3 linked regions of the Caenorhabditis elegans genome follow. The protein of the gene in region 2 purifies or fractionates together with the protein of the main gene of each other region. This does not show direct contact. Each region holds a gene or a part of one and is shown on either strand. Other genes may lie near its edges.

The links.
Region 1: the proteins of mtq-2 (region 2) and metl-1 fractionate together in Caenorhabditis elegans (co-fractionation; one large-scale study listed by BioGRID). This does not show direct contact.
Region 3: the proteins of mtq-2 (region 2) and trm-1 fractionate together in Caenorhabditis elegans (co-fractionation; one large-scale study listed by BioGRID). This does not show direct contact.

What each region holds. Positions count from the first base shown.
Region 1 is NC_003280.10:11,467,843-11,475,207, reverse strand, and holds metl-1 (tRNA (guanine-N(7)-)-methyltransferase), read left to right. Parts: upstream 1-1,632; 5' UTR 1,633-1,645; coding exon 1,646-1,737; intron 1,738-1,788; coding exon 1,789-1,851; intron 1,852-1,900; coding exon 1,901-2,295; intron 2,296-2,728; coding exon 2,729-2,949; 3' UTR 2,950-3,073; downstream 3,074-7,365. Other genes in the region: ngat-1 (Beta-1,4-N-acetylgalactosaminyltransferase), read right to left, coding at 1-351, 401-692, 751-933, 991-1,112; slc-25A37 (Mitoferrin), read left to right, coding at 3,197-3,250, 3,439-4,143, 4,190-4,306, 4,768-4,848; cisd-1 (CDGSH iron-sulfur domain-containing protein 2 homologue), read left to right, coding at 5,616-5,703, 6,099-6,187, 6,243-6,470; rga-1 (Rho GTPase-activating protein 68F), read right to left, coding at 6,702-6,976, 7,036-7,188, 7,251-7,365. UniProt on the Caenorhabditis elegans protein: Catalyzes the formation of N(7)-methylguanine at position 46 (m7G46) in tRNA.
Region 2 is NC_003280.10:2,185,316-2,193,894, forward strand, and holds mtq-2 (Methyltransferase HEMK2), read right to left. Parts: upstream 4,143-8,579; coding exon 4,032-4,142; intron 3,283-4,031; coding exon 3,058-3,282; intron 2,231-3,057; coding exon 1,901-2,230; 3' UTR 1,834-1,900; downstream 1-1,833. Other genes in the region: gba-2 (Putative glucosylceramidase 2), read right to left, coding at 48-200, 251-454, 1,067-1,106; Y59C2A.2 (Membralin), read right to left, coding at 7,567-7,679, 8,379-8,445.
Region 3 is NC_003283.11:14,181,190-14,189,961, reverse strand, and holds trm-1 (tRNA (guanine(26)-N(2))-dimethyltransferase), read left to right. Parts: upstream 1-4,352; 5' UTR 4,353-4,431; intron 4,432-4,474; 5' UTR 4,475-4,492; coding exon 4,493-4,571; intron 4,572-4,623; coding exon 4,624-4,693; intron 4,694-4,740; coding exon 4,741-5,046; intron 5,047-5,094; coding exon 5,095-5,472; intron 5,473-5,938; coding exon 5,939-6,437; intron 6,438-6,487; coding exon 6,488-6,736; 3' UTR 6,737-6,838; downstream 6,839-8,772. Other genes in the region: ints-2 (INTegrator complex Subunit homolog), read right to left, coding at 44-474, 526-624, 1,065-1,184, 1,232-1,475, 1,521-1,714, 2,150-2,246, 2,294-2,949, 3,008-3,112 and 4 more; ZC376.8 (DUF236 domain-containing protein), read right to left, coding at 8,453-8,772; cest-2.3 (Carboxylesterase type B domain-containing protein), read left to right, coding at 7,032-7,099, 7,474-7,759, 8,024-8,225. UniProt on the Caenorhabditis elegans protein: Dimethylates a single guanine residue at position 26 of most tRNAs using S-adenosyl-L-methionine as donor of the methyl groups.

The sequences.
Region 1 (7,365 bases), 9.3 Mb from region 2:
TTCAGGATTTGGTCGTTCAATTGTGTAATTTAATGAAAGTATTCTCTGTCCCATATCATCGTCTTCACCTCCCCACGCCCAGAATTGATTTGAATATCCATTAACTGCACGATAATCTGCCATTGATACTGCTAAAACGCCTCCGACAATCTCCTTGTACCACAATTGATATCCCAGATTACTGACAAAAGCTCCAAGATGACGTGGACCAGGTGGGCACGAATACGGGTTCCGATCGTCTTGTGGGAACATGTCGACGTCGTGGAAGACTACACAATCGACTCCAAGGCTTTCTGCGAAGATAAATGCAGCATTCATAATTCGGCCTTTGTTGAACAAGTCGTTTCCATACTGAAAATTTAATATTTTTATTTAAGCATTGCTTTAAAAAAATTCTTACTTGTTCAGTAACAATGAATCGAAAATCTAGCCGCTGTCGTTGAAGTATTGGAATCAAAAAGTCGATCAATCGAGTCAAGTGAGTTTGCCTTTCTCGATATGGAATTATCACTGCGATTTTATCGCGAGCCTGACAATCATCCGGTTTCCATGAGCCACCTGGGCCAAGTTCTGGATGAATTGCGTGTACTTCTCCTTCTTGAAGATTTTGAATCAAAAGTGTGGCTTGTGGAAGAGCGCCTTGAAGATCTGGTATTTTCTCAACTATTGGACAAGATCCGTCCTCTTCGGCGCTGAAAAAATAAAAAAAACGTTTAGTTTAGATTCACAATAATCACTGAAAAAACTTACATTTTAACCGGTGGCTTTGGTTTTGTGACGGCTTCTTCCATATTTAAAAATGTTAGCGTCTGTCGAGCAATTTCCAATTCAACAGGATCCTTTATATCGTGTGTTCTTTCAGCGACTCCGCTGTTTTTTGATTGCTGTACATTGACATTGACAGATCGAACTTGCTCTTCAGTCGCTGCTATCCTGGAGACTATTTAATATTTAGTATCTCACATTTATAAAAATATATCAAAAACAAACCTTCTTTCATCATTTAATGTAGAATTTCTGAGTAGCATTACATAGATTAGTGTGGAGGCGGCAACGAAAATGATAAGTCGTTTCGGAGAAAAACTACGTATTATGCAGTGTGAGGTCCTCATTTTAAGTAGCTTTTACCGATAAATCAATGCATTTGAATTCTGAAAATTGGAAATTACTTTTTGAGGGGATCAGAAAAGAAATCCGGCTGTAAATAGAGTAAATAGGTGTTGAGGGGAAAGTTATGTGACAGAATAAGAGAAAAAGAACGAATGCGTGGCTGTGAGAAGTATATTCAGAACAACTGCAGTGGTTGTCCGGTCTTTTTTGTTGTAAGTGAAGCAACGGGAATTGTTGTGAAGAAGGCGAGAGACAATGCGAAACCTAGGAGACGCCGAGAACTCCCCAACACGAAAGTTGCGCACGAAAATTGATTGCTGGCGCAAATCGAGTTACGCTTGGCGCACTTCACGATCTTCTCATTTTTTTATTTTAATTTTTTTCCTTTTATAACTTTAAAGTTAACTTTCAGTAAATATAACTTTTAAATTATTAAAATTTAACTTTTTAAAATTAAATTGCGCATTTTTCAACTACCTCAATGTATAATTTACGTAAATATTTACATAATTTACTCGTGATTTTCAGCAAAAACATGGACATAACTCCTGCGCTGACAGAAATGGAATTGGATCACAAACCTACTTGCGAGACAGTTCCAGGGTTGCCTCAAAAGAAGCATTATCGGTTAGTTTCTGAGAAAACTAAAGTTTAATATTTAATAAAAAAGGATTTCAGGCAGCGAGCTCACTCGAATCCTCATTCTGATCATGACATTGAATATCCACTGACTCCAAACCAGTGAGTAAAATTAAAGTGTTACCTTTTGTTAAATTTTGACAATTTTTAGTATGGATTGGACCAAATATTACGGCGATTACACAAAAGGACGTCAAGTGGATTTTGCAGACATCGGATGTGGTTATGGAGGTCTTTTGATGAGATTGTCACCTAAATATCCTGATAATCTGATGATCGGTATGGAAATTCGTGTGAAAGTGTCGGATTACGTAAACGAAAAAATCCAAGCACTTCGAAAGCATCACGCTGAAGCTGGTCACTACAGAAATGTAGCCGTTCTCCGATCAAATGCCATGAAATACATGCCAAATTATTTCCACAAAGGACAACTTTCCAAGATGTTCTTCCTTTTCCCAGATCCACATTTCAAGAATAAGAAGCACAAATGGCGGATCATCACTCCAACACTGCTCTCCGAATACGCTTATGTGCTTCGTGAAGGAGGTATGAGAGTGACCTTGATCGTACCAGTGATCACAAGTGCAGATAATGGAATAGGAATAGTTTCAATGATAAGAATAGCGTATCAACGGTTGAAAATGTGTCTTTGTGTCCCTAATTCTCGCCATCAAACAATATTTATCATCTAACCGCGTGGCCGTATGCTGCTGCGAGACATTTCATCACCGAACATTTTTCTTGACTTTCGATAGATCTCAGAAAACTTTCCAATCTCTGAAGCTTTAATTGTTTCAAATTTGCACGTAGGCTTCTATCTTCAATTCCCTGCCCAATAAAATTAACAATCCGTTCCATGTGTGCCACGTGAGAACTATAGCTAAGTAGAAACCTGTTCCTTTCTCTGTAGCTCTGCGCACCTACAAGTGCATTTTCCCGCTGTGCCTATTGATCTTTGTTATAACTTTTATTTTTTCAGGTATTATCTACACAATCACTGATGTCAAGGATCTACACGAATGGATGGTCAAGCATCTCAGCGAGCATCCACTTTTCGAACGGCTGACTGAAGAAGAAATGAAAAAAGATCCGATTGTGGAAATGCTCTTTGAAAGTACTGAAGAAGGACAAAAAGTGACTCGAAATGACGGAGGAAAGTGGCCAGCAATCTTCAGGCGACTTCCGAACCCGGCCTTATAATCCCCTCTGCCTACTTCCAACATTCATCAATTTTTCACGAGACTCTCCCTCCTCCTCCGAGGTTGTTATTTAACTATTTTGTTGATTTTGTGTTTTTGTCTGTTAAATGAAATCCAATTCTTCTAATAGTCTGATTTTTTGAACTTATTTCCATCGAGTTTTCAAACTCTACTTATATATCTATTAAATTTAATCAATTATTAAATTTTTAAATCGCATTTTCAGCAGATACTCAGTACTGGGCAAAATGGGTGGCGGTGGCGAAGATGAGTACGAATCACTTCCAACACACAGCGTCCCGGTAAGAATTTTAATTAATTAAAAGAGATTGACAAAATTGAAGATTTCGGCAAAAATTAACCGTTTTCTTCAAAAAATACGTGTTTTTTTTTGAGAAGTTCCATTACGAATTCGGCGCATTTTTATTAATTAAAATTTTTTTATTAAATTAATTTTCAATTAGTGTTTCCCATTCTATCACAATCTAAGATTCAGGTGCACTTGACAGCTGGAGCCCTGGCCGGAGCCGTTGAGCATTGTGTCATGTTTCCATTCGATTCGGTCAAAACGAGAATGCAATCACTTTGTCCGTGCCCTGAAACGAAATGTCCAACTCCTGTACATTCACTGATGAGCATTGTTAAACGAGAAGGATGGCTTCGACCGCTACGTGGAGTTAATGCAGTTGCTGCAGGCTCAATGCCAGCTCACGCTCTATACTTCACAGTTTACGAGAAAATGAAGGGATATTTGACGGGAAACTCCGCGGGACACAGCAATACGTTAGCATATGGAGCTTCTGGAGTTGTTGCAACACTTATCCATGACGCTATCATGAATCCAGCAGAAGTAGTGAAGCAAAGAATGCAAATGGCTTTCTCTCCATACGGATCATCGTTGGAATGTGCTCGATGTGTTTATAATCGGGAAGGTGTGGCGGCTTTCTATAGATCATACACGACACAGCTGGCAATGAATGTTCCATTCCAAGCAATTCACTTTATGAGTTACGAATTCTGGCAGCACGTCCTGAATCCGGAGCATAAATACGATCCGAAATCACATTTAATTGCGGGAGGACTTGCCGGCGGATTGGCAGCTGCTTTAACGACTCCAATGGATTGTGTGAAAACCGTTTTGAATACGCAACAAGCTGCAGAAGCTGATCCAGCAAATAGGCGAATTTTCTTGCAGGTGAGTTTTTTTGAATTCTTCGCATTTTTTTGCTATAATTGAAAAGAATGAATTACAGGCTAGGTATCGTTATCGTGGAATTTCTGACGCCGTACGGACAATTTATTCTCAACGTGGACTATCCGGATTCTCGTGTGGATTACAAGCTAGGGTCATATTCCAGGTAATGTCTAAGATTTTTGATTTTCGTGCCAAAAAATACGGTAACCGGTCTCGAAGCGATCGATTGTTTTGAATGCAAAGGGTCTGCACCTTTAAGAATTACTGTAATTCCCAACTAACGGTTACAGCGAAAAAAATTTAGATTTTTCCAGAGAAAATCTAGAATTTCCGATTTTTTATTTTTTTGTAAAAATCGGAAAACATAAAATTTAGATTTTCTGGAAAAAAAAATGTTCAGAAAAAAAAAACACAAAAATTTAGTTGCCAAATTTTTATGATATTATTCCAATAATCAAGAAAAATTTCGAAATATCAGAAAATCACAATAACAAAAAATCGAAGAACAACTTTAGTAATCCTTAAAGGCGCACACTCTGTTAAATTTAAGAAAATCGGCCGCTTCGAGACCTGGTACAGTATCCGGGCAATAGAAAAACCTCAGTTTAATAATTTTTATTCCAGGTTCCTGCAACTGCTCTCTCCTGGTCCGTTTACGAGCTTTTCAAATTCATGTTGTCTTTCGAAGGAGGTCATTCGAGTTGATAATTTTGATCTTTTCTCCAATTTTTCCCCCAATTTTTCCTCTTTTCCAAGGTTTCTCCTCATATAGGTTAGGTTCAATAGTTCTCATTTCTTTTTGTTGTTTTTTTTTCATATTACTCTCAGTTTTCTATGTTTCTTTTTTTTACAAAACACGTGTCAAACCCGTGCAGATGCCTTCTAGATTCTTTTTGTTGTGTTCTGAAAGTTTTATCGAATCCAAATGATTTCTTTGACTATCAACCTATGCGAGCATTTCTAGTGGAAAAGTGTTCATAATAATTGTATCCCATCCCTCCCTCTCTCATCCCTTTATTATTCGAGACAAAAATTCAAATAAATACATAAAAAATTAGTGTTTCCACTGAATTTATATGTTCTTTGTGCTCCGTAGTTTCACACGGAAATTTGTATCTTGTGTCTATTTCTCTCTTATCTCTCATTTTCTCGTTTTTACTGCGATTGGCGCTGATGTTCAGGCGACCGCCTCGACTTCAACGTCACTTTCTTTCTCTTTCACAATTGTTAGTGATCTTATAATGTCCACGAGGCTGAAGATTTTTCGATTTTTGGCGGAAAATGAGCGAAAAATTCTAATTGTAAAATATATCAAATTCACAAAAATCGATTTTCTTTTCGATTTGACCTTTGAAAAAAAGTTATTTTTCTTCTTCTCACGTCCAAATTTTTTAATCAAAAAGATCAATCGATAGATTACGAAAAAAGGTTTTTAAATTTATTTCTACATATTTTACAATTTTCTTCGAAAAATGACCATCGCTGGATTTTGTGCTTTATCTCTCATTCAAGATCACTGTTGTTGGACAACGCCACAGCATTGTTCTGTTGCAGAGCTTGGTAATTTTGGCATAATTTGTTGATTGAACTGCCTCTTATTACACAGATTCACAATTTTCCGATTTTTTGGTCAAAGGTTACGTATCTGGTCTCAAAGCGACTGGTTTTCCAATAGAAAGAGTGTGCGCCTTTAAAGAGTACTGTAGTTGTCAACTCGCGAATTCTCTCATAAATTTTAAAAGATAGCACTTCTGAAAAAGTTATGAAAATTGATACAGTACTCCTTAAAGACGCATACTCTTTCCCAATAAAGCAAAGCGGTCGTTTCGAGACCCGATACTGTACTTTTATGCGAAAATCGCCAAATTTTGCATCTACCTTATGATAAATCGTATATATTTTTTTTCGCTTGAATCTTATTCCTTAAATTTTTTTTGTTAAATTAAATTTTCCAGGTACCATGCCTTGCCCAACTCAAGTCTCTGGTCGCTGTGTCGCCACGACTGCCGCCGTTCTCGCGGGAGGAGCTCTTATTGGATACCTTGTAAGTTCAAGCCTTCCCCTGATGTAGCCTCTTCAATTTCACTAATTAATTTCAGGTTGGTTACAAGTTCGGACAGCGTTCGGCTCGCTGCAACTACAAGATCCAGCTCGACTCGAATAAGATCGTCGACACCGTCGATATTGAGGATATTGGAGAGAAGAAGGCATTCTGCAGATGCTGGAAGAGCGAGAAGTGGCCATACTGTGACGGATCACATGGAAAGCACAACAAGGAGACTGGCGACAATGTTGGCCCACTCATCGTCAAATCCGAAAAGAAGTAAACGTCGTCTCGACAAATCATTGATCTTCATTATCTATTGACTTCTAAATGTTCTTGTGATCGTCGAAAACCATCGGTTTTATATGATTTAGTACGGATACAGTGAATTAATTTTTAGTATAAATGACAAGTGTTTTGAATTTTATTTAATATGGATGCAATAAATAAATTACAGTAAGGCAAAAAAGTACAGAAAAACGGGGGAAAATGCAAAAGCTGAACACCCTAATGATCAATGATCAAATACTGAATCATAATCCACAATTAATTTATAGCAGAAGTTATTGAGGTTATTCAATTGAGAAATCGGCACTTCTTGATCCGTTGGCCACGTCAAATTTGGACCGAAAACGACACTCAAATTGTTTGCAGTCATCAGATTCACTTTGCTGTTTTCGGCGACTCGAGTTAGGAATTTGATGACTGTTTTCAGAAGAATGTAGTTTTCACGAGGCAGAAGCTTCACAAATTCTTTCACGGCGGCGCTTTTCTCGGTTTTCGATACTTCTGAAAGATTCAGATATTAAATAAACACTGTTTTCAATTGACTTTAAATATTTTCTCACCTGAAAGAGCCGCAAGTTTCGGATAAAGCCTATTGGTCGTTAGGGGCTCTCCGAGGCTCCTGAAGAACGTCTTCAAAAGTACAGAAGCATGCAGGGAAGCCACGTATTCGTTGTCCTTGTACTCTGGATCATTTTCGAAATCAATTTTTTCGCCTGAAACAAATATTTAAAATTAAAATCAAAATCAAAATTCAATTTCCTAGCCTATTAAATACCTTTATTAATTCTATCCTGTAGCCTCTTTATACTTCCAATATTAGCACTTTTCCTGAAAACTCCTTCCATTGTCAACGCGTGAGCTTCCAGATACTCGATGAGCTGGTCAACGAT
Region 2 (8,579 bases):
CAAGAGGGAAAGTTGTAGAGATTTGAATTTTCTATCGAATAACTTACCAGAATCCGAAAAATACTGTCTCAGAATTGTATCAGCCATCTGATCGGGTAAGCTCTTCAAATTCGCACCAGAAGCATCGGAAAACGTTGAGCCAAATCCTTGGATTGTCTGATATGTTTTTGACGAGTCAATTGTGAAGTGCATGCTGGTTACTGTAGTTTTTGAGATTACGGTAAAAATTTTCAAAAAAAAAGTTGCTTACAAGGGTCACTATTTGTCGCATAAACCACATCCCGATGCAGTCGGGCTCCGGATTTGGAAGTTGTGAATGTGGCAGCCTGCCCGGATAGTAAGTTGATATCTGGGATCTCATCGCAATAAGTTATGTTGCAGACACACACAATTCCGGTTTTGAAGGTTTTTTGGGCGCAATCATTGGCGAGTGCCACCTGGAGGGAGGCGAGGGCTGAAAAATTTGAATTTTTCGTTGAAAAATTCGAATTAGTCATGAAATTTTCTGAGTTTTGACACCCATATTGACTATATTTGGACAAAATCGAAGAATTATAGGATTTTGGGGTGCGCTGCGGTCGCGTCGCGGCTCAAATATGGGAATTTTCAAAATGGAGCTAGAGTGGTCTAGTTTTTTGTATTAATATTAAAATTTTGAGTTGAATTGGCTTTCGAATTGAGTGCTGAAAAAATTGTTTAATATTGTTTTCAAAAATTTTTAAAGATAAATTAAAGAAAAGTTTTTTTTTTGGAAAAACGGTATATCGTAACTTTTTTAGGTAATAAAAATCAAGTTCCTGGTGAAATTTGCTGAGTTTTGACACCCATATCGACTATATTCGGATGAAATCCAAGAATTTTAGGATTTTGGGGTGCGTTGCGGTCGTGTCGCGGTTCAAATACTAAAATCTTCAAAATGGACCTAGAGAGGTCTAGTTTTTTGTGTTTAGCTAGAAATGAAGTGGAAAATTAAATTTTTTAGTGGACATTTAAGAAAAAAATAGAAAACATTCTAAATTTTTTTGGAAAATTTTTTTTTTTTAAGTTTATAAAATCAAAAACTCACCAAAAAGCCCTAAAACAAAGCAACTCCAGGCTATAGACATTATGTGTAGACTACTCCTCCTTTCTCATTTTCAACTTAAATACTCGTATACTGATAAGCTAGAAATCAGTTCAATTTGTACTGATGAAGTCATTTTCTTATCAGTAGCCTGTGATTCTAGCCAGCTACTGACTTTTTGGTCACTTTCCACACAAAATCGCACAAAAATGTGTGTGCTTCTTGTGCTTTTCTGTGGCCTGGAAGTCACAAGTGACTAGAAACTGACTGAAAACTCAAGTCAGAAGATGATTTCACATTTGAAAATTTATTTGAAATTAGGAACAATCACATTCGAGCTATTGAGAAGATTTGGAAAATGTGGCAAAAAGTTTTTAAGCAGATCAGAATTTTTTTAGTTTTTTAAAACTGTCTAAAAATGATCTGAATCGCAAAATTTTAGATTTTCACCGTAAAATTCGAATTCCTTGCAAAATTTCAGCCTGAAACTCGAAAACTAGAGCTCTCTAGCTCAATTTTGGAGTTTCCCGGGTTACTGTAGCCCCGGAAGTACGCAAACACCGACTACAGTACCCCCAAACACACGATTTTACGCGATTTTCGAATTTTAAGCTAAAAATTTATGGAGAGACTAATTGAATAGTGGAGAATTCGAATTCGTCAATAAAAAGGTTTTTGTGGTGCGTTGCGGTCGCGTCGCGGCCTTGCAGTGGTCATTTTCAAATTATCGCTAGAAACGTCTAGTTTTCTCGAATACAAACTGAAATTATGCAGTGGTTTCAGATTTTTTATTGAAGTTCCGTGAATTTTATCGAAAATCCAAGAAAAACAACAAATTTATTCAATTTCCGCAAGTGGCGCCGCTTTAACATTATTCTCCTTCATCACAAATTTCAAAATATACAAATGTTCGATGCCGCAACGGCGCTCCATTGACACTGACACCGTCATTTGCTCCGAGTGCTCTTTGAGCAGTGCCGGGATATCGTTCGAGTGAAGTGCGACGAGATAGAAGACACCACGTGGGGACAGAAGCTCGGGGACACGTGGCAAAAGACGATCGAGCGTTGATCTACCGGTTCGGCCGCCAGCGTAGGTCAATTCGATGTTTGATTTGGGCTCTTCGTCAGTAGGGACGTACGGTGGGTTGAAGAGGAGCACGTCTACCTGGAAAATAAAAATTTGGAAAAAAAAGAAAATTTTCGTCGCTAAAACTCAGAAAACCTAAATTTTCATCGGCAAAATCGAAATCCCTGCGAAAAATCAGTGAGAAAATCGAAAACTAGAGGTTTGTAGCTTAAATTTGAAGATTTTCGAGTTTCGAGCCGCGACGCGACCGCAACGCACGTTAAAAAGCCAAAACCCTGGGTTTTTGACCGAATCTAGTCGATATGGGTGTCAAAACTTTGGGAATTTTGTGGAGAGTTCAAAAATTTACATAAAAACACGAGAAATATCACGGAAATTGTGTTACCGGGAGACATTTTCTATAAATTCTGAGATTTCTTTTTTTTATAATTCCATTAGAAATTTGAATTCTCCATTAAATTCTAAATAAGTTGCAAAAAAACTAGACTTTTCTAGCGTTATTTTAAACATTTTCGAGTTTCGAGCCGCGACGCGACCGCAGCGCGTGTCAAAATTACTTGATAATTTCTGAATTTGAATTGTAAATTCGAATTCCTCTTAAAATTTCAGTCAGAAACTCGAGAACTAGAGCTTCCCAGCTCAATTTTTAAATTTTGAGGGTTACTGTAGCGTCAAAAGTACGCAAACACCAGCTACAGTACCCCAAAACACTCGATTTTACGCAATTTTCGGATTTTGGGCTGAAAATTGAGGTTTAGACTAAGAAAATAGCGGTGAATTCGAATTTGATAATGAAAATTCTGATAAAAAATTGTGGACACCAGTTTTCGAGGAATTTTCTTCAAAAGCCTTCGACTTTTATGATTTTTTTTCAACTTTTCAAATTTTTCTCTAACTTTACCAACCTTCCCAAGTAGATTCTCCAATCCTGCAAACAAATCCGTACGAACCACATCAATCTTAATATCATTGAGCTTTGCGGTCTCCAGTGTCACATCCAACGCGTGTGGGTTCAAGTCAGTCGCCACTGACGTCACATTTCCGCCGAGAGCCTGATTTACGAACGTCGAGACGACTCCCGAACCACATCCGATTTCCAGTACAAGCTTGGGGTCGCGAGATCGGATTTCCTGGAAATTTGAGGTTTTTCGGGATTTTTTTCAGATTTTTCACTGGTTCAAAAACTTTTCCGCGAATTTTCATCCTTAAATTTGAATTCCCCGCCATTTATTTGGTCTAAAACTGAATTTTCAGCTCAAAATTTGAAAATCGCGTGAAATCGGGTGTTTTGGGGGTACTGTAGTCGGTGTTTGCGTACTTTCGGCGCTACCGTAACCCTCGAAATTTCAAAAAAGAGCTAGGGACTTCTAGTTTTTGAGTGTCTGACTAGAATTTTACAGGGAATTCAAATACGGCAATGAAAATTTTAAAATTTAAATTTCAGACTAAAAACTCGGCAAAAATTTCAAGTTTAAGAATATTTCTTTCTGAAAATTCACGGTTTTAACTAAAAATTCGAATTCTTCGCGAAATTTCCGAAATTTTGACATCCACATCGACTAGTTTCGGTTAAAAACCAAAACATCTGCAATTTTGAGGTGCGTTGCGGTCGCGTCGCGGCTCAAATGCAAAATTTTTCAAAATTGAGCAATTTACATCTAGTTTTTGGGATTCTAGACTGGATTTTTGCGAGGAATTCGAATTTATTATCAAAACCAAAAAAAAAAGTTTCAATTGATTTTAGGCTAAAAAATGTTGTAAATTTTTGTTCGCCAAATTTTCCAAATTTTTTTTTCTCAAAAATTTTCAAAATTATTTCTAGTTCTCCGCGCTTCCAACCGAAATTTTACGAGAAATTCGAATTTCCTACTCATTTTACCTTAATATCCTTCTCAATAGCATCAATGAGGAGAAACGTGTCCTCGGCTGGCTCATAGACGTCATGGGCTCGAATCGCTTGGAGCCGATACTGGGGAGTTGGCATTGACATCTGAAAAAATGGAAATGTTTTTTAAAAAAGAATCGAAAATTTAGAAAAAAAAAGAAAATCTGGAAAAAAATTTCCAAAAAAAAAAAAAAATTTTTTTCTCAAAAAATTTTTTTCTCCCAAAAATAGAAAAAAAGGCGACAAAAGAAAGAATTTCTAATCGAATTTCATTCTGCCGCCCTTTTTTGACGCGCAAAGTGCAAAAAAGGGGGAGAAATCTGAGACGGCGGCCGGATGATGAGATTGACAGCTTTTCACTGGTTTTTTGCACTTTTGGGAGACTTTCTGTGGGGACATTTTGCACTTTTTTGGGGTCAAAATTGGTTAATATGACACTTGGGAGTGTTTGGAAGAAATTGGAGAAAATTCAAAAATTTCAAAAATTTTGAAAAAAAAATTCAAATTTTTGGCTGAAAATCTTATGAAAATCGATTTTTAAGCCAAAATTTTAAAACTTGACTGCAAAATTCGAATTCCTTACAAAATTTCAGGCTAAAACCCGAAAACTAGAAGTTTCTAGCTCAATTTTGAAATTTCCCGGGTTACGGTAGCGCCAGAAGTACGCAAACACCGACTACAATACCCCAAAAAACCGAATTTCACGCGATTTTCGAATTTTGAGCTGAAAATTCAGGGATAGACTAAGAAACTGGCGGGGAATTCAAATTTCAAACTAAAAATTTAAATAAAAAATTGTGAGGTCTTTTTCAGAAGATTTTTGTGACTCAATCTTTGATTTCAAAAAAAATCAAAAAATTTCTCCGGATTTTTATTATCAAATTCAAATTCCTTGTCATTTTCTTAGTCTAACCATGAATTTTCAGCTTAAAATTCGAAAATCGCGTCGAATTCAGTGTTTCGGGGGTACTGTAGTCGGTGTTTGCGTACTTTTGGTGCTACCGTAACTCTCAAACTTTCAAAATTGAGCTAGAAAGCTCTAGTTTTCGAGTTCAAAACTGAATTTCTGCGAGGAACTTGATTTTTATAATAAAATTTCAAAAATTTGGGTTTCAGACTTATTTTCCGGCAATTTTCAATAGAAAATGTATGAAAATTCATGTTTTCTGGTTCTTTTTCAAACAAGAAAAACAATCAACGCCTCTTTTCTTTTCTCCGCAAAAAATAAGAAAAAAGAGGACCCAAAACGGAAGCTTCGCCTCTTTTTGGGAGTCCTGGCACTGCCAGTCGGTCTAAAAATTGTCAAAAATAAATGGCTGGGCGGTCAGTTTTTTTTGGCTGCGCAAAGAAAATTTATCTTTGAGGGCTCATCTCTTGGGACCCCCTGACAGCTGTGGTGACTAGACAGGGAAAAAAACTGATCTTTGGCTTGGGAGCTGAGCCGAAAACAGTCTGAAAATCAGTCTGAAACTCAAATTTCAAGAATTTCATTAATAGTTTCGATTTCCCCGCAAAATTTCAGCTTTAGACGAGAAAACTAGAAGTTTTTAGCTTAATTGTGAAATTTCTTGGGGTACGGTAGCTACAAAAATACGCAAACACCGACTACAGTAACCCGGAAACACCAAATTTGACGCGATTTTCGAATTTTGAGCTGAAAATTTACACATATACTAATTGAACGGTGGAGAATTCGAATTTTACATTTAGAATACTGCGAATCGTTTTTGAACTTAATAAAAACGCCAAAAATCTCTGAAAATCGATAAATTGCTAAAATATTCGAAATTTCCATGTCCAATTTGATTTACTTGCAAAATTTCAGAAAGAAACCCGAAAACTAGAGCTTTCTAGCTCAATTTTGAATTTTTCCCGGTTACGGTAGCCCCAAAAATACGCAAACACCGACTACAGTACCCCCAAAACACCCGATTTGGCGCGATTTTCGAATTTCGAGCTGAAAATTCAGGGATAGACTAAGAAAATGGCGGGGAATTCGAATTTCAAAATGAAAATTTTCAGGAAAAATTTTAAGTTTTGTAAAAATTGAAATTTGCAAGAAATTTCCAAAAAAATTCGATGAAAACACCTAAACTTGACATCTTTTTCCAGGAAAAAACTACAGAAAAATTGTGTTTTTCTGCAAAAAAAAGGTCCAAATCTCTTGGGACTGCTCATTTTCGATGACCCCTCACAGAGACCCCCGTCTTCCGGCGGGGGTCTCTGCGTGTTAGGGAAAATTGTCGAGACGGAAACAGATGATACTTCCTTTCGGGATTTGCTGACCATCCTCGTTTTTTCTAGATTTTGAAAAATAGGAAATTTTGTGTTTTGGTCGCAAAAATGAAAAAATTCGGCCCAAGTGATATTCAAAACATTTTCAAAAAATTTTTATAATTAAATTCGAATTCTCCGCTATTTTCTTAGTCTATTCCTAAATTTTCAGCTCAAAATTCGAAAATTGCGTGAAATTCGGTGTTTGCGTACTTTTGGCGCTACCGTACTCCTAGAAATGTCAAAATTGAGATAGAAAACTCTAGTTTTCGAGTTGCAGACTGAAATTTGATGGGGAATTCGAATTTGGCTCCGAAAATGTGTAAAAATTAATTTTTAGTCCATTTCACTCAAAATTTTCAACTGGAACTCTAACTTTCAGACTACTCCCGAATATTTGGAGAAATTTAATTAGAAAATTCGAATTCCCCGCAAAATTTGCTAAATTTTGAACCCCATATCGACCAGAATAGGTTGAAAACTAAAAATTCAGCAATTTTTGACGCGCGTTGCGGTCGAAATTCGAAATTATTCAAAAAAGAGCTAGAAACTTCTAGGTTTCGAATTTCTGCCTCAAATTCAGTGGGGAACTCGAATTTGATAATAAAAACCAGAAATGTTGAGTTTCAGATCGATTTTTAAGGATTAAAAAAAAAAAAAATTAGTAATAGTATTGTTTTTAGGTAAATCTGGGGAAAGTTGACGACCAAAAATATATTATTTTCAGATTTAATTCATAATTTATTTGTATCAGGAAAATTGGAAGAAACAGGAAATGAAGTGAAAATGTACAGAGAAACGAAGAAAAAAAAATCAATAAAAATTTGGTATATCACAATTTCACGGAAATTATCGATTTTTCGGTGATTTCGATAAAAATCTCCGAAAAATCGGAAACAAAAAATTTAAAAAATACCCATTGACTATAACGAAATTTTTGTGCGGTTTTCTAGCAAAAATTCTGATAAAATTCAAAAAAAATTTGGAAAAAAAAAAATTAAATTATCGATTTTTGTTGGCGGAAGGGGGCGGGGCGGGAAATGGAATGATTAGGTGGGAAAAAGTGGGCGGGGCACAAACATCACAAATAAAAATGGCTCGGAAATTGGGAATTTTCTGGGAATTTTCGGAAGAAAAATTGAAAATTTATATTTTAGGACGATTTTTGATGGAAAATCCGATTTTCTACTGCAAAAATCCGAAATTTGATTCATTTTTCGCCGAAAAATCCAAAAAAATCTCAAAATTTCCCAAATTATTCCTGATTGAAAAGCTCATTCATCGCGTCGTTAACAATCCGGTGAGCGACAATTTCCTCTGCATTTTGGGGTTCTCGTTCCACGTGCTCCGGTTCTGATAGTGGTGGTTCTGCAAAATTCAAAAATTTCAGATTTTCATTGCCAAATTCGAATTCCTCGCAAAATTTCAATTTGGAAATGCGAAAACTAGCTGAAAATCGCATTATTTTGAAGAATTTGAACAAATTTCGACCGCGACGCGCGACCGCAACGCGCGACAAAAATTGGTGAATTTTTAGTTTTCAACCGAATCAGGTCGATATGGGGCTCAAATTTTGGGAAATATTGCGAGGAATTTGAATTTTCTAGTTAAAATTTTCCAAATTTTCGGGAATAATCTGAAAGTTAGGGTTTCAGTTGAAAATTTTGGGTGAAAAAAATTTTTTTACCAATTTTCGCTGCTAAATTCGAATTCTCTGCAAAATTTGAGTCGGAAAATCGAAAACTAGAGGTTTATAGCTCAATTTTGAAATTTCCAGGGGTACGGTAGCTCCAAAAGTACGCAAACACCAAATTTCACGCGATTTTCGATTTTTGAGCTAAAAATTCACGGTTAGACTAAATAAACATTGATAAATTCAAATTTAACTCTAAAAATTCAGAAAAAAAAACTTTGGAACTCGAAAATCCAACATTTCAGCTAAATTTTCGAACTTTAGCGAAAAATTCGCAATTTGGCCGAAAATTTCAGAATTTTTTGCTGCGATAGCTAAAATTTCACGGAGAATTCGAATTTTTCACAAAAACTTCGCAAAAACTCAAAACCTACCAGGTTCCACGACAAGTGACGGACCCCGTGCGTCAAATACACTGGAGGGGCTCAGCGGCTCGGCGATCTGCAAGAAAATGGGGGATTTTTGTCAGAAAAATTGACATTTGTATTTAAAAATGGGGTTTTTTGGGAAAATTGAAAAAAAAAATTTCGAAAAAAAAATTTTTTTTTCAAGATTTTTTCAAATTTTTTTTTTTG
Region 3 (8,772 bases), on a different chromosome or scaffold from region 2:
TTATAAACTTTGTTTTAGAATTAAAAAATTCTTGTGAGCAAACCTGTCACATCTGAAAAGTAACGATGGAATTTTGATAATATCATCCAATACAATATCTTCATCGTTTCGAATCCATGCAATTGTTGATTGTTGAAACAGGGAAAATGGATCAAGTTGTTCATATCGATCGAAAATTGCCATTAAAGGTTGTTCGAAGCCTTGCGGAGTTGATGAATTCAGTGACTCCATAAAGATGTCGATAATGATGGGAAGTGAAGCCAATTGCATTCTCACACTACTTCGATTGATCACTTCTAATATAATTTTAATATTCTTGATATCTTTTAATTTATTTATTCGTTGATTGATATTGCTACCAAATTGTTCTTCCTCGATTACTTCTGCTGATGCATTTTCATGATTTTCAGCCACAATTTGCATTGATTCTGGAGTTGGCAGAGAATACGAAAATAGAACTGCAGCTCTGGCGGTCTTGAAAATTTCAAAAATTGAAATAGAGAAAAGTTGGCGAAAAAAACCTACAATCTTGGATCTCACATTCTCAAACTTTTCGTGCTGATATTCCATAACTGAGAGTATGTAACGAACTGGTAGCTTGAGGAAGATAGACTTGTCGTACAGCTGAAAATGAAATTTTAGTTGAACTGTAAAAAATTAGACTCGAAGTAGCCCAAATCGACCCGAATTTCATGATGAGACGTCTTGTAAATATTTCAAAAAAAAAATTAAGATGGTTCAACAAAATGTTGAAAAAACACCGATTTTAAGCTAAATTCTCAAATTTTGACGATTTTTCAGTGTAGCAGAAACCAGAGATAAGTTGTTTTTAGTTCTTTATTATGCGGAGTTTGTTGTTGAAGACCGAATATGAGTCCAAATTAAACACGAAACTTGAAAAAATTAATTTTTGGTTTCTCTAACACTTACAAATTGGCAAAATCTGTGAATTTACCAAAATGGGTATTTTCAAAATTTTGAACCAACTCAACCTTTGTAAAATCATTTTGAGTGTATTAGGGAAATGACCAAAATTGCGCTACTCCAATTTCAAATTTAATTACCGAATTTCGAAGAGACGCATCATGACGTTGAGCTGCTTCCCTGTACGAGCAAATGTAAAATAGGACGAAAAGCCGTTTCGGAATCGTACGAGAATCGAATACATCGCCAGTGAAGGTGTTCTGAAATTCAGTAATTTTTTTTGTAAAAATCAAAATCTTATTCTAACCTTAATAAATTCCTCACTCAGACCTTTTCCTTTGGAATGAGCAGAACTATGTGCAAATCCATCAACAACTTCTGCTAAAAGTTGCGAAGCAGGCAGTGTTATATTATCCAATTGTTCTTCCAACCATGACCTAATATTTATCTGGAATGTCTTATAAACCCCCGCAGCTTGAAGTGCATGAATTGTTCGAAGAGCGTACGAGCTCTCGCCATTAGAGCATTTTGTGACAAGTTGGCAAATACTTCTGAAAGTTGAAATTGTGCTGTAAATTCCAAACTCTAGGTTTTACCGCTTAGCAACCTCCATTTCTGTCATGCAACGTGATGTGAAAGTGTTTTTCAGTACAAGAACGTGATTCTGACGATTAACAAGCTCAACTTTTTGTTTCATTCCATAACTTGCAAACTCCGAAAGCTCTTCGATTCGAGAAGACATTATACACGAGTGAACATATATCAGATGCGATCCAAATGCTGATGTGACCTGAAAAAATCGGAAAATTTTTATTTATAATTAAGTTTTTTAAAAGGGTGTCTTCTGATTTTTCATAAAAGGTAATTTTGAAAAATCATATGATTTAAAAGACAGGGAACAGGTTAATTACCTAATATAATTGTTAAAATAATTTAGAATGTTTAATTTTCTATAATTTAGAGCAAAATATTTGTTTTGACCCTACTGCACCTCTAAAAAATTTCGATTAATCTGAAAATAGCGTTAAAATATGTCTTTTCATATTAAAATAATAGGTTTTTGAAAATGTTTTTTCTATGTTAACTTTTTAAACATTTTTTCCGATTTTTATGTATATAAATATTCGTTTTTCGACTCTTTTTCTAATTTTTTTTAATTCGACATAATCTCCTCCATAATTGAATATTTAGAGCAAGATCTTGTAGAGCTGTAGCCGAACGATACCTTTTCCCCTGCCAGAACTCTCCTTCTTGACACATCAAGCCAATTTTCAACAGCTCGATCTGGTGGTTGAACTGCTCCCGTTTGATTAGGCGGATATCTGGATAAATTTTAATTAATTAAAAACTAACATCTTTTCTAGATTACTGTGTGAAAAACGGGACGGCGAGCAGCGCAGACAGTACAAAACATTCATGAGCATCTCCGAATGGACTGGGCTCTACAGCAGTCCTTTGGGAAACCGGTATTGGTCTTTGAGCCGATTGTGTTGATTCAGGATCCGAATCAGGAACAACAGAATCTTGTGAACAGTGAGCTTCTTCACGAAAACTCAAATCCATGGCTTCATCCATACCAGATATTGAATCAGCAGAGTGTAATATTGAGGATGATGGATTTGCATCAGTTCTAAACAAAAATCTAGTGACAGTAATAATTTCTAGTTCAGTCCAAGGTTCCAATGCAGAGTTCATAAGTTCCACGAGACAATATGAAAGACGAGTGCACCATGGAGCAGTTCCCATTTCAGAAAATGATGTGGATTCGGGACGTGGCGAAATAACAGTATCTGCCATATTGAGAAGACGTGCAATTATTAGTGGAAGAACTTGTCGATTGGAACTTCGAATTACCATTTTGTATATTATGGTTTCTTTATCTGTCAAAAGTGGTTCCATGAATTCTAAAAACTGTCTATCATTCAAATGATCAACAGCTAATCTGCATGCAAAAACACAATCCGATCGTTTTTCGGAATATTTTTCGATTATTCGGCGTGCAAAGTATGGATATAGTTCGACGATCTGAAAATATCTACTTTAAAACTTGAAATAGTTTTTTTAATTTAATGTGAAAGCTTACTTTTCCTATAACCAAATTTCTATATCTTGTACGATTTCCTGGTGTTGGATTGTTAGTCAGAATATTGACAATTGTGACCAAATTTTCAGGCGTTTCGATTATAAGCTGAAATATTTTGAATTTTTCATGACAACGCGAGAAAATGAACCAACATTTTCAATGACATCTGGTCCGTGTTCAAAGAGAAGTGCATTTATAATTTCTTCGACTGTGAGTAGCGATGGAAGATAATTCTGAAGCATCAATATTTGATTTGATATCTTTTCCACTGATAATCGATCGATCCATGTTGGTTGTGAAGACATTGATGCGTCGTTGTCTGGAAGTTATTTGGATTTCATTCAAATAATCATTTCGCATTTTCCTTGGAACTATGGGTGAGCGGCAATTCTTCAAGATTACCTATTACAGCTAGGTATTTAATTTTGCCGAATTGCCGGAAACAAATTTCCCAATTGGAACATTCAGTGCCACGAGTTTTTTCAGGCTTATTGTATTCTTTATATGCAATTCAGTTCATTTCCACCTATGCAGCAGATATATCTAATTTGTGAAATTCGAATCCTACGTAGTTACATACGTTTTTGAATATCCCTAACTAAATCCACGATTTCATCGATAAATGTGTCTTTATCTTTTTTCAACATCATTTCTTCAGTCATTTCTACTTCCATTGGTTCTCCGGCTCCTTCTATTCCTCGGCTATTTCCTCGTTTTCTTTGATGAAACGCTGGAGATGAACCTCCATCCGATGATCCTTCAATATCTGATGCCCCATCTAAGTTTTGCGATCCCGATGGCCTATTTAGAGATGCAACTCCGCGAGTTTGCCTACTCAAAATATTGAGTCGTTTTAGTCGTGATGCTACTAGATTCCAATCGACTTTTGCGTGAATTGAGGAATGAATAGTACATGGATCCAAAACTGTGATCAACGGAGCCAGGAGTGCATCCTGAAAAATATAAAATTATGAATGTATTGTAATATTCTCCTACCGGCAAATCAGGATTAACTTTCCCAACACTTGATTGAACAGCAGCAATCTCGAAGTAATTTTTCTTTCTTTCCCAAAAATTCTGAAAGTTAAATAATTTTAATTTCAGCGAATTTCAGGAGTAGCTTACATTTATTCGAGGAGTCAAGCATTTTTCTGCTTTTTCTACCTCCATGACACTGAAATTTGTGTATTCCGCCTCAATTAAAATGGTTTTCTGACGAAAGAAACGTCTAAAAATGTGTGCAGAAAAATGTTTTTTGCGAAAAGGGAAGAAACGCAAGTGCGCTCCAATCACAACTTTTCTCGTGTTGTCCTCTCGGAGTTCTCTAATTCGTATTCGCTTTAATTTAATCAAGGACAAAAACGTTTTTTATTCTTCCTTCGCGCAGTATTTTTTCCCGAATTTTGCAAATAAAAAGTAGAAAGGCAAGCACTGCACATTTAATCTTAAAAAAATCTCAGTTTTTAGCAAATTTCGCGGTATAAAATGACCGAGAATGTCAATTCATCTGGAGATTCGGCAATAAAAAGCGAAGATAAAGAAGAAGTGACAGTTATTCAGGAAGGTTTGTTTTGAGTTCAAATAGAATTAAAAACAAATTAAACATTTTATTTTAGGACAGGCAAAAGTAGGTTTCCATGGACCAGTTTTCTATAATCCAGTTCAGGAGTTTAATCGCGATTTGACGTGAGTTTGTGTCTGAATCTCAGTATTTTAAGGAAATTATCTTTCAGAGTAACAGTTCTTCGTCAATTTTCTGCTGATCATCAAAAATGGGCAGAGGAACAGAAGCAATTGAAAACAGAAGAAGAACCTCCGAAAAAGAAAAATAAATTGGCTATCAATGAAGATGGCAAAATCCGAATTCTCGATGCGCTTTCTGCTTCGGGACTGCGAGCATTGCGTTTTTCGAAAGAAGTTCCCAATGTGGGATTCATTATGGCAAATGATTTCTCCGATAACGCAGTTGCTTCAATTCAAGAAAATGTGAAATTGAATGGAGTCGAGGATATAGTTGAAGCACATTTCGGAGATGCAGTGTAAATTAGTTTTTCTTGATTCGAACTTTAATCTAAAATTAATTTCAGTATGACAATGATGGAACATCGCGGTATTGATAAACGATTCCATGCTGTTGACCTGGATCCATATGGAACTGCTTCCACATTTCTAGACTCGGCAGTCCAATGTGTCGCTGATCGTGGAATTCTGATGGTTACGTGCACTGACATGGCTGTTTTATGCGGAAACACTCCAGAAGCATGCTACAACAAATACGATGCAGTTACCACTAGAATGAAGTGTTGTCATGAAGTTGGACTTCGGATTTTACTTCGAGCAATTGATTCTGCAGCCAATCGTTATACAAGATATATTGAGCCATTGGTGTCGATTTCCGTTGATTTTTACGTTCGAGTTTTTGTCAGGGTACACACAGGAGCTTTTCAAGCGAAGCAGAGTGGAACGTGAGTTGACAGAAAATTTAAGTTTCAAAATAGCTAGATTTAAATTTAATGAAGAAAATTTTCAAAATTGTGAAAAAAACAACTATTTTTAGCTAAAATCTCCAATTTTGTCAATTTTTCTGTTTCAAAGCTGTTGGAAATTAACTTTTACTATATCTCACATTATTTTATTAATTAATGGATATTTAAAGCCGATAGGTAACCAATATCATTATTTGATACCTATCGACTTAAAAAGTGCATAAATTTATAGAGTAACGAGATTAACGATGAAATTATGCAATAGATGATAATAATCAAGTAAAGGTTAATTGACAACCACTGCGAAAGGAAAAGTTGGCAAAACTACAGGTTTTAATTAAAACCAGCTCATTTTCCCGAATTTTTGAACCGACATTGGTTCAAAATCAAGACCGTAAATCCATTAGTTCTCCTTTAATTAGTTAACATTAAATTATATTTTTAGGAAAGTCGGAACTGTGCTTGTATGCTCTGGATGTCATTCAATGGAGCCATTAGTACTGCTTAAACGAGGAGAAGGAAATCAACAAAGCAAATATTCAATTCCAACAGTCCGTCATTCAATCTCTGGTCCAGGCAATCGATGCATCCATTGCTTACTTCCACTCCACCAAATTGGTCCAATTTATCTTGCTCCAATTCACAGCAAACCGTTCGTCACTTCCCTTCTGGAACGTCTGAAATCTACTCCTGAAGCTGAAAGACTTGGAACTCACGGACGTCTTCAAGGTGTTCTTACGATGGTCAATGAAGAACTGGATGATGTTTTATATTATGAGCACAACCAAATGGCGAATGTTGTGAAAGTTTCCGTTCCAAAATCTCAAAGTGTGAGATCTGCGATTTTAAATGCCGGTTTCAAAGTTTCTGGATCTCACTGTAATCCCCGTGCAATCAAAACAAATGCTCCGATGCACTTGCTATGGGATATTTATAGACAAGTTGTAAGTCTCATAAAAACAGTATACGATTCACAAATAAATGTTTTTTCCAGGCTAAAGACACAAGTGTGGATCGCGAGAAGCGTCTGGCCAAAGAATCAGCAGGATATCACATTCTCGGACAACCCATCACCAACACAGTCAACTTCACTCTTCACCCAGGAGCCATCGAACAGGCCAAGAAAGAGAACCTTGTACGGTTCCAATGCAATAAAGGGAAGAATTGGGGCCCTCGCCAGAAAGCAAAAGGATCAGTGAACTCGACGAAGGCAGGATTTCAATTGACCGAGCACAAGGAATAATTTTTAATTTTTAAAATTGTTTTTTTATGAGCGTATTTTATTTTTCAAGTTATATTGTTGTGTTTTTTGTTGTTGCAGTTTGGATAAATATATCCTCTTCTTATTTAGCGCACTTCTACTTATTTTCAGATTGAGGAAAAATCGATTAACATTAGATTCCAAAGGGATTCCCACATTAGTAATTCATCAGCCAAAGAGAATTGATTTATCTTATCACTGTGCCATCTCTTATCGTTTTCATAACATATTTCCCAGAAATGAGAGCGGTTGGCTCTGTTTAATCGATCATCAGAGAATGATTTTACAATATTTATACTTCGCAGTTCTGATACATTTATCTATTTCTACAAGAATTCAGTTATCGTGAGTTTGTTCAGTTTTTCCGATTTTAAAGCAAAAATACAGGGCCGGGTCTCGCCACGAATGATATATTTTTGAAGAAAGTCTGTACAAACTGGTGTGCGCCTTTAGAGAGTACGGTATTTGCATGGTATTCTCCTTTTTCCGTTTATCTATTTGAAGGCAGAACTGGAACGCTGAAAAAAGTATGAGAATAAAAGAAATAACGAAGAAAACTGCAAATTGAAAATATTGTACCTTTTAAAGGCGCAAGTCTTGGTGTTTGTTTAGTTGGAAATGTTTCATTCGTCGCTGCAAGACCGGATACCGTACTTTCGCATTGAGAATCGAAATATATTGCAACAGTGTGACTAAAACTCTTGATTTGTTTTGTTCAGAACTGGAACAATCGAAGGGAAAATCTTGAATGCTACTTATTCGCCGTTTGGAAATCAAACTGCTACCGTATTTTTGGGCATACCATACGTTGAACCTCCAATTGGAGAACTTCGATTCCGGAAACCACGTCTTCTGAAATCATGGGAAGGAGTTCTAGAGACAAAGGATTATAAGCCTGCGTGTATGAGTTATTGGAGGAAAACTTTCAAAAATGGATTTGTTGGAGAAATTTCAGAGGATTGTCTATACGCAAATGTGTTCACAAACCAGTATTGCTTGCAAAATGTCAGTATTATACAGTCTTTGCAATTTTTCACATGATGCTCTCGCCACGAACTACGCCAGAAGGCGTGTGTCCCTTTAATAGTACAGTAACCACTATACGGTTCTAGTAATAACGAGGAAAAAGGGGTTACTGTACTTCTCAAGGCGCATATATATTTTCAGCGGTTACGATTAGAAAACATTTGATGCACCGTGAGAACGGTACCGTCTATTTTAGTGGACAAACGCAAAACTTCTCTCTCAATTTTTTTTTCAATATTCCAGAAAAACTGCTCCGTAATGATTGTGGTACATGGTGGACGACTTGTTTGCGAATCGGGTTCCGCATTTAAACCTGAAATTTTTATAAACAATTTTGTGGGTCAGGACAGAAATATTGTAGTTGTGACATTCAATTACCGCCTCGGAGTTTTTGGATTTGGAGTATTTAATGGAGAAACCGGGGATACGAATGTGGCAATGTATGGTACGTGTAGTTCAAGTACAGTGTATTTTTGTACACTTATATGACTTCAAAGGAGAGCGCATTTTTTCGAAATAGTCCTGCCACTTGCCACTTATTGGTCTCGTCACGCGCTTCAAAAATCAATGGCTGGCGCGTGGCGAGACCATTCCAAATGCGCCCTCCTCAAAGAGTAACAGTTCTTGCGCGCCGAAATTATTTCATGAAATGGTTTATTCGAGTTACAAGAGCTATTTAATTTCGGATTTCTTTTCCTCTTTGTCATCCTTCTTTTCAGCATCTTTCTTCTCGCTCTTCTTCTCCTCATTATTAAAGATTCCCTTATCAACTTCATTCAAAGTCTCATATTGTGGATCCTTTGCATCAGCCTTTTGCACTTTATCCGGTTGCTTGAACTCCTTCTTCTTTCCTTCATCATCTTTCTTCTCGTCCTTGAACATTTCTTCACCCAATCCATTCAATGTTTCGTATTGGGGATCTTTCACATCAGCTTTTTCAACTTTTGTGGGTGCTTTGAACTGCTTTTTCGGGTTTTTGTCCGGTCCGAAGA